Linked DNA regions of Nothobranchius furzeri. The protein of the gene in region 2 purifies or fractionates together with the protein of the main gene of each other region. This does not show direct contact. Links are inferred from orthologs where the notes say so. Each region holds a gene or a part of one and is shown on either strand. Other genes may lie near its edges.

Region 1 (4,493 bases), on a different chromosome or scaffold from region 2:
AATATATATAGATAGATAAACCTGTAAATGAATGAATGAACGAATTAATTAATTGCGTATTTCATTCATTCATTCATTCATGAATCAACTAATATAAATAAGTAAATAAATAAATGTGAAATTTAATACAACGTTTATTTATTTATTTATTTATTTATTTATTTATTTATTGGACTGAGCAGTCCAGATGGAAAAACGACTGTCTGCCCCCTTCCAGTTAACCCATGGGTCCCCAGAACAAAGAAAAAAATGACTGCAAGTGAAAGGAGCTTTAAAAACTTTTTCTAATCCGTTTTGCCTTTCGACCTGTATTGCACATATGTTGCACTTTAAGTTAGATTAAAAATTATTACGTGTGTTTCTGTCACGTAAATTGAGATTTATTAGCTTGTAAAATGTAATATTAAAGTGACAACAAATTAGACACCACATCTATGACATTATCACAGAATATCTTATTCCGTGCTACTTTCTACGTGGCCATATTTAAAGTGGTTATTTCCATGTTTAATGCTCCTTCGTTTGTTGACCAGTGTCTCTGGACAATTGCTGGACTTTTTGAGTGAAAATAATGTTTTACAAAAATTTCAATCTGGTTTTAAACCACTACATAGCACTGAGACAGCTTTGCTGAAGGTCCTGAACGACATTCTTCTTGCAACTGATGGCGGAAGGTCTATGTTACATGTTTTGCTGGATTTGACAGCAGCCTTTGATACAGTGTTGTTGGATCGTTTTGAGCACTATGTGGGAATGACTTGGTTTTGGTCCTACCTTTCTAATAAAATGGTGTGTGTCCAGATGGGTGGTTTCTCATCTGAATTCTCCCATCTCCTCTGGGGTGTTCCGCAGGGTTTAATACTGGGTCCCCTGCTGTTTTGTGTGTATATTCTGCCTTTGGGTGATATCCTATGGAAACACAGTATTGATTTTCACCTGTATGCTGATGACTGCCAACTGTACTTGCCTTTGGATGAAGCTGGTGGTCAACCAATCTCAAAGGTTTTAGATTGTTTGTGTGAGGTCAGTGGTGGATGGTAGAACATTTCCTGTGCCTCAATGAGGGGAAGACAGAAGCAGTGCTCTTCGAGCCGCCACACCGATAAACTCCATGGTGGATTGTGGTGAATTAACCCACCACAGGACTATGCTGTTAATTTGGGAGTGAAGATAGTGAAGATGCGGGGTGACATGAGCCTTTCAGTTGCAGCTCCAAAACTATGGAATGAGCTTCCATTACACTTTTGGCAGTCCTCTTCCATACCAGTTTTAAAATCCAAGCTGAAGACACATTTTTATTAACTTGCTTTTAATCAGAATCAGAGAATCAGAGAGAATTTTATTGCCAGCACTCCAGCGAACCAGAGCATAGGAACTTGACTCCACAGAACAGCCTGACCAAGATTACACACACACATATAGACAAGACAGATACAGGCAGACCACGGGAGCAGCCATAACAGCGCTCATTTCAATAGATGAAGAGGGGATTACATGAGGAGAGTTCGGGGAGGGAGAAAAAGGCATCAACAGAGTTACACCGGCAGGGTGTGGCTCTACTATGCAAAAAAACACCTCTACATATAAGCACGAATGTCACAGTTCACAACATGAGACCCGGTAGGTGGGGGGGGTGGCGGGGGGGGGGGGGGGGGGGGGGGCTGGGACCCTGGTTTCCTCAGCGGGAGCAGCCTGTGTGGTGCTCGACCAACTGAATCCACAGGTGGGTGGGAGATCATGAGAAAGCACAGAGCACAGTGAGGGCCTCCATCTTGATGACCTTGATCTGTGTAAGTGATTGACTGTGTTGCTTTTTTGTCTGATTTTAAATTTTTGTATTTGGTTGTGTTTTCTTCACTTTTAGTGGATTTTATGTGTTATGTTTTAATCTGTGTCTGTGAAGCACTTTGGTGGCATGTAAGTGTCTGTAAGGTGCTTATAAAGTTCGAGTCGAATTGAGAGTCGAGTGGAAGAGGGATTTGAACCTTGCTAAACTAATCTTCTCTTTTCCTGTCTGGTTTGATGACGTCAATTTGGTGAGACAAACATTTGTAGTCCCATACATCTTTTCACACAAAACCTAAAATAACTTTAGAATAAGCGCTTTCTCTGCGATGGACTGGCTCTCTGTCCAGGGTGTACCCTGCCTGATTGCCCATTGACCGCTGGAGATAGGTACTAGCCCCCCCCCCCCCCCCCCCCCCCAATCTCTAAATGAATCTTTAAAATTCACTGACAGCATATGTGAAATCAATGGCACATAAATTGGGATCAGAAAATAATCTTTGTCATCTCATAGACTCTTAGGCCCAATCCCAATACTTGCACTTCCACACTTGCGCCCTTCAATTGCACAATCTCTGTCAGGGGTGCGAGTGTGTAGGGTGTCCCAATTCTCAAATGCACCCTTGATCCCCCCTTCACCCAAGTCTGCATTGATGTGGACTTGGGTGAAGGGTAATACCCACAATCCATTGTTGTGGGAAAAATGGCTAAATCGTCTTTTCTGAAAATATGTATTTTCAAATGAAAGTAGTTCATTTTAGGATGATTGGTTGATGCTCTGAATGTTTTGGACAAGACAGCAATTGATGTAAATAAATTTCAAATAATTGTTTGTTTGTTTGAAAGTTGTTAATAAAGGTATTTTTTAAAAATAAAAGTAGCACAGCGCAGGGCCGGAGTGGGACACATTTTCAGCCCTGGAGTTTCAGACCCCAGACCGGCCCACTTAACGAATTATTATTAAAATCATGTTAGAACTTTATATGTATAGTCTACAAAAGCACACTACTCGGTAAAGCCTTGTAATTCAGCGCAAGAAAGAGTTGCTTTACTTTATTTGAACATCAGTGCACATCTCCAACATTGTTCTTTACAACACTTTCTCTAACAATATAACAATCCACCTTCTGTTCAAACAGCTGTTCTGAGATTTTCAAACCTTTAAAATGAAATGACTCAGCACTCCCTTTCACACTTTTTCCAGTTTCCCTAGACTCACCTGCACACAATTAAAATAATCATCTGTAAAGCTTTAGCACATTTGATATGGAAAACACATTTTTGTAACCAATTAAAATATTTTCTATGGCAAAATATGCAGGCTTATTTCATTTTACTTTCATTCTAATAGCGATCTGTTGTGGGCTTTGTGCATTTACTAACAGAAATACATCAGGTCACTACTATTATTTGGACATTAAAATTATTATAATGAAACTGATGTTTGCTTGTTTGCACATGAGTTGGCTCACCTTCTATCCCAACAGGAGCAATACCCTCACTGCTGGCTCCTGGCTCTTCTTCTGACACTAAATCACACTGTGTGAAAATTCAGCATTCATTTTCCTTTTTTACACGCTTTCTGATCAATGCTGAATCATCTAGCATTTTAGAACACTTTCATATAGAGCCAGGATAGTTTTCATCATATAAATTTTAATAATATTCAGTTCACTGACTCAATAAGTAATCCTACCTGTACATGCCCGCTCTGGAATGGTGGGTTTCTGCCTGGTGCTTATTAGGCCTACTGGATCTTGTGGGCTACAAGACAGTTTGGTGGCATCAGTCACATCATACTGTTAATTATATTACATAACGTTATGTCATGATGCCATATAATTCATTATTGATGCTTAATTAGCTTGAATGGTGATTTGCAGCCGGTAAAGTTTAACATCTTGACTTGCCTTACCCGTTTTATCTTCATTTGAAGTTAAAGACCGCAAGCTTGTTTGAGAAAAAAAGGTGCTCATTTTTGCACATTTAGCTGCATCTGTTTCCAGCGCGTTCCTCTTTTTAATTCTTGCCTTCTCCGCGCCACCCTTGCTCTTTCTACTTTCCATCTCTCCGTCAACTGCGTGGTCACGTGGTGCGCACAGGCGCATACGGGGGAAAAAGAAAACGAGCTGCAGCCTGCAGGTAGACAGCCGGGAGGAGCGTATGTGATCAGCCCGGCGGCCTCAGTGCCATGACTGAACACCGGCACCAAAAAATAAAAACAAAATGATAAAACAAAAACGAGAGCACCGGCCCATGCGGCCCAAACATCGCGCGGCCCACCGGGAATTCTCCAGACCTTCCCGATTAGCCACTCCGGGCCTGGCACAGCGACCAGCATCCCGGCATGCGTTGCGGTCGATGGCGCAATGCTCCCTGTCCCAATTTGACAAAGATTTGCACATTTGTATACCACACACTCGAAGCCTTACTGCACACCTCCACCAAGTGCATTTCACAGAAGATCATAGAGCACAGTGCAAGTATTGGGATTGGGCCCTATTAATTTTTTGGGGCAGTTTGGGACCCATGATCCGGAACTAGTGCTGCGTTTCAGTAGTCCTCAGAACTTAGAACTTCTGGGCAGGAAATGACAAAATGGGGTTGTTTTGCATTCCAGCTCCCCCCAAAAAATGGATGCCACCAGTGTTGTTTGGCCCTGTGGTAGAAACACCCACCTAAATATTATGCACAGATAGAAATATATA
Region 2 (4,301 bases):
CAAGATTTTCTTGTACACCTCCCTAAAAAACTAAACACATCAGATCGGGGCTTTTAGAACAGGAACAAAGATACAGAATAAAAACAGGGTTTCTGTGAGGACGACACCTTTGTTGACCACAAAGGGCGACAATGGCACAGGAGTTAAGTACTCGTTCCATAATAGGAAGGATGCGGGTTCGAGCCCCGCTCAGTCTGTCGCTGTTGTTGTGTCCTTGGGCAAGACACTTAACCCACCTTGCCTGCTGGTGGTGGTCGGAGGGACCGGTGGCGCCAGTGCTCGGCAGCCTCGCCTCTGTCAGTACGCCCCAGGGCAGCTGTGGCTACATCGTAGCTCATCACCACCAGCATGTGAATTTGTGTGTGTGAATGGGTGATTGTGTTGTAAAGCGCCTTGGGGGGTTCCAGGACTCTAGAAGGCGCTATATCAAATATAGGCCATTTACCATTTGGTCCACGGCCTCACCCAGTGTGCGAGCACGCTAACGTTACTCATCGTTTCAGCCAAAAGGCCTCTAGGCATTTGTAGAAAGGGTTTATTACACCTGTATGAAGAGCTTAGAGTGAAAGTGAACAGATATGAATGTATCTGGCAAAGGTCACTGTATGTTGTATGTTGAGAGAGCAAGTCCTGAACAGCACACGGTTATTAAAACTCATACCTGCTGGTTGACATCTGCCCCGTTGTTGACCAGCAACTCCAGACAGAGGGCACCGTTGGTGGAGACGGCAGCCAGGTGCAGAGGGGTGTAGCCGCACTTGTTAGGCTGGTTAACATTAGCTCCGTGGTTCACCAGCTCTGTCGCCACAGCTTCCTGCCCCATGTAGCAAGCCACGTGGAGTGCAGTGTTTCCAAAGCCATTAGGCTCATCAATCTGACCAAAACACACACAAAACACAGCGTTCTAAGCAGAAAGCCAGAAACATTTAAAGACGGGCTCTTTCCTAGATAGTGAGTGTCAAATCTGAAAGAAGGCAGTCTAAAATCAAGACTGGCTGTTCTAAAAGCAAATTCTTTGATGCAACCACTCACCTCTGTACCCATTCTCAGCAGGTACTTTACAATTTCGATGTGACCACTTGCAGACGCAGAATGGAGAGGCGTGTAACCCAGCTTATCCTTACAGCTTTTATCAGCACCGCGAGAAACCAGCATCTTCACAACCTCCAAATGTCCTGCAGGAAACACAAAGTTTACATTTTTATTACCCGCATGACCAAAGGGAACCATGACAAACACAGAAGTTTGAACTACTGAATGAAACCTGCTAACCCAAATAAGCAGCACAATGGATAGGCTGTCTCTCCTTCTTATCAATGGCACTCAGGTTGGCTCCTTTGTTCAACAGCAGCTTCACCATCTGAAAGAAAGAAAACAAAACTTCAAAATATTAGCATTTGTTTCAGTTGTAAGGGCATTTCCAAAGGACAAGTCATAAAATCAGTGCAGTCTCACCTCCTGGAACCCACTTTGAGCTGCATGGTGCAAGGCTGTTCGACCAGTGCGATCTGCCATGTTCAGGTTGCTCAGCTGGGTTAGCAGAGCCTCGGCACAGCGCGTGGCACGATTGGCAGCCGCCACATGCAATGGCGTCTGCCAAAACTTGTCTCGTGCATTTGCCTCGGCTCCACGCCTCAGCAGAAGACCCACTGCCCTCTGAGGAGAAGGAAGCAATAACCAGAGCTTGTCATTTGGACTGATAACATCAATTTTTACACTGTGCTGCTAAATGCATTTTACAATTAAATGTGAATACATCTGACTCTATCAAATAATAACTCATTATGATATAGTCTTACTTCATTCCTACATGCAGCTGCTCTGTGCAATGGGGTCAACCATATGTGGTCCTTAGCATTAACGCTGGCACCTGGACAGATCCAGTCATGCAAATTAGATAATTATTAACATGTTAGAAGGAGAAGCACAGCGCATTTATCAAATTATGTCACACAGCTGATAACTGCACCCAAAGAGATGGTTTGGTGTGTCCATGTGATGAGAAGAAACAAGACATCTGGCTAAAATGCAGCAGACTCACCTGACTCAATGAGGAGGTCCATTATATGGACATCACCCACACAGGCAGCAGCATGAAGAGGCGTGCGGCGCTCTTGGTCCTGTCACACACACACACACACACACACACACACACACACACACACACACACACACACACACACACACAATTAAAAATCTCTAAATCTTCTGCATCAATTTCCCAATAAAACCCCGTGTGCTTTGAACGCACCAGTGCATTGACATCTTCCTTTTTGTGCAATAACAGTTGAATTTCTTCAGTATTCCGACTGAAGATGGCCTGGACCAGAGGAGGCTGCAACACACAATAAACACCAGCTGACTTTGTGCTAAAAATACATGTGCAATTAAAGAAATGAGGTAAAAACGTCTCCGCGCAATCCGGACCAATGGCTTGTCTGGATAAGATCAGCTCGCATCTACGATTTATTTGAACCGATTTAATAATTTAACGTTATTTATTACTTAGTCAAGTTGCTAGAGTCAATAGCACGGCGGTAAATGTTGTTCCAAACGCTTACAGCCGATAAATCACCCAAGAACATCTTTTTCTCCAGGAATTACACCAAGCCTCAGCTTAGGCCTACAGGCCCGTGTCGTCGTACTTACGTCAGCTAGCCAAGTGAGCTGGCCCTGAACCAGACTACGGTCCGAGGAAGGCATTTAACAACGCAAACAACCGTCCACTAACCAAACGACAAAAAATACAAGAAACTAAGTCGTTATCAGTAGGATACGCATTAAAATAAGAACACAGGTCATATTAGTACAAAAATGTTGACAAGTGGATCGGCGAATACGTAGCATGTTGCGCACTAAAGCAGCTCATTTCCAGCAAATAGACTGCGCCATCGCAGAACCACAGCGCCTTCTTTCGGCGTACCTGGTCTGCAATGTTGAGTACTCCCATCTCCCAAACTCAGCCAGGACGGAGCTCCTTCATCGGGATAAAACTTCGAGGTAAATAGTAGTGTGCTACTGTGTCCACCTCTCAGACTACACCCATGACTAAAAGCAAAGACAATTGCGGACTCCGTCTGTCACTGTTGTTGTCTGTATCCAGTGTCTGCTCTGGGACTGCGCTGGTCCGCCTACAGGCGTGGCGGTCTGCTCTCCCTGACTCGGGCTAAATGTCGACACCTTGTGGTAGAAAGATTTATCGCATCCTTTTTTTTAAACATGACTGGCATTTTTTTTAGATCAATTAAAAACTTTTACTGCAGCTTTCACGCAACTAATGTCATGTTAATAGTTTTATACATACTGCATTAAACAAAAAAATGTGACACATTCCTGTTCCCAGCAAAGGTAAGATTACATAAGAATTAGTTTAGTCTTTAGCCTAGCCTAGCCTAGCCTAGAATAGAATAGAATAGAATAGACTTTATTGATCACAGTGGGAAAATTCACATACACTTAAAGAAATGGGAATAAAAATACAAGTAAATACTCAAGGAATTGGGATATTACTGAATAACAATTGAAAGACACATGTATTTCACAAGTATTGAATATAGCTCTGATGTGACGTGACAGGATGGTGACAGTAGCAGTTAAACTGTGGAGTTATAGTCTTACTGCAGAGGAAATGAATGACCTACAGGCCTTTAGTATCATATCTAAACTAAGAACATGTCACTTTTGTATTTTTGTAATAAGAAAAACAAATAAACAATGGTAAGCTTTGTTTTCACAGTTTATGTTTATATGAACAATTTAAAACAACAAATGAAATGTTTTTGCAATTTGTTTTTGATTATGGAAGGTGTGAACTATTTTTCTTTTCTTTTTTAAGAAGAAAATGTATAGAAGAAGAAGAAGAAGATATCATTTCTATAGCACCTCTCAAGATAAAAATCATGAGGCGCTTCACAAAAACAAAAAATGTAAAAATATATAAAAAATTATTTAGAAAATGGTTTAAAATTTGTTTAAAATGAGCAAAAAATAGACAATTGTGATTTAAAAAAATGTTAAGAAAGAGAGAGAGTGATAAGGCTAATTGATCTGTTTCTTTGTGTGTTTTAAAATAGTAGTAGAATTACACGTCTTGTTACAATTAATAAAATATATTTTAAAATGCCACGTGGCATCAACGTACACTTAAGAGAAGCGCATAAATAAATGTGCAAGTTCATATATTTTTCTAAATAATTTTGGACAGTAAAGATTATGATATATCACAAGGCAAATAGAATGTAAAAATAATAGCATGCAGGTAAAAAATGTATGTGAGGTAATAATGTTGAAATTTTCATTCA

Evidence for each region.
Region 1: the proteins of ankrd52a (region 2) and ppp6r2b purify together in Homo sapiens (affinity purification with mass spectrometry; 3 studies listed by BioGRID and IntAct, counting the BioPlex papers as one, with this or other methods). This does not show direct contact. The link is inferred for Nothobranchius furzeri from reciprocal best matches to the Homo sapiens genes ANKRD52 and PPP6R2.

The regions. Positions count from the first base shown.
Region 1 is NC_091744.1:70,738,563-70,743,055, reverse strand, and holds the start of ppp6r2b (serine/threonine-protein phosphatase 6 regulatory subunit 2), read left to right. Parts: upstream 1-1,666; 5' UTR 1,667-1,790; intron 1,791-4,493. UniProt on the Homo sapiens protein: Regulatory subunit of protein phosphatase 6 (PP6). May function as a scaffolding PP6 subunit. Involved in the PP6-mediated dephosphorylation of NFKBIE opposing its degradation in response to TNF-alpha.
Region 2 is NC_091755.1:37,185,661-37,189,961, forward strand, and holds the start of ankrd52a (serine/threonine-protein phosphatase 6 regulatory ankyrin repeat subunit C), read right to left. Parts: upstream 3,105-4,301; 5' UTR 2,951-3,104; coding exon 2,924-2,950; intron 2,336-2,923; coding exon 2,252-2,335; intron 2,121-2,251; coding exon 2,042-2,120; intron 1,871-2,041; coding exon 1,800-1,870; intron 1,657-1,799; coding exon 1,456-1,656; intron 1,361-1,455; coding exon 1,273-1,360; intron 1,176-1,272; coding exon 1,033-1,175; intron 875-1,032; coding exon 662-874; intron 1-661. UniProt on the Homo sapiens protein: Putative regulatory subunit of protein phosphatase 6 (PP6) that may be involved in the recognition of phosphoprotein substrates.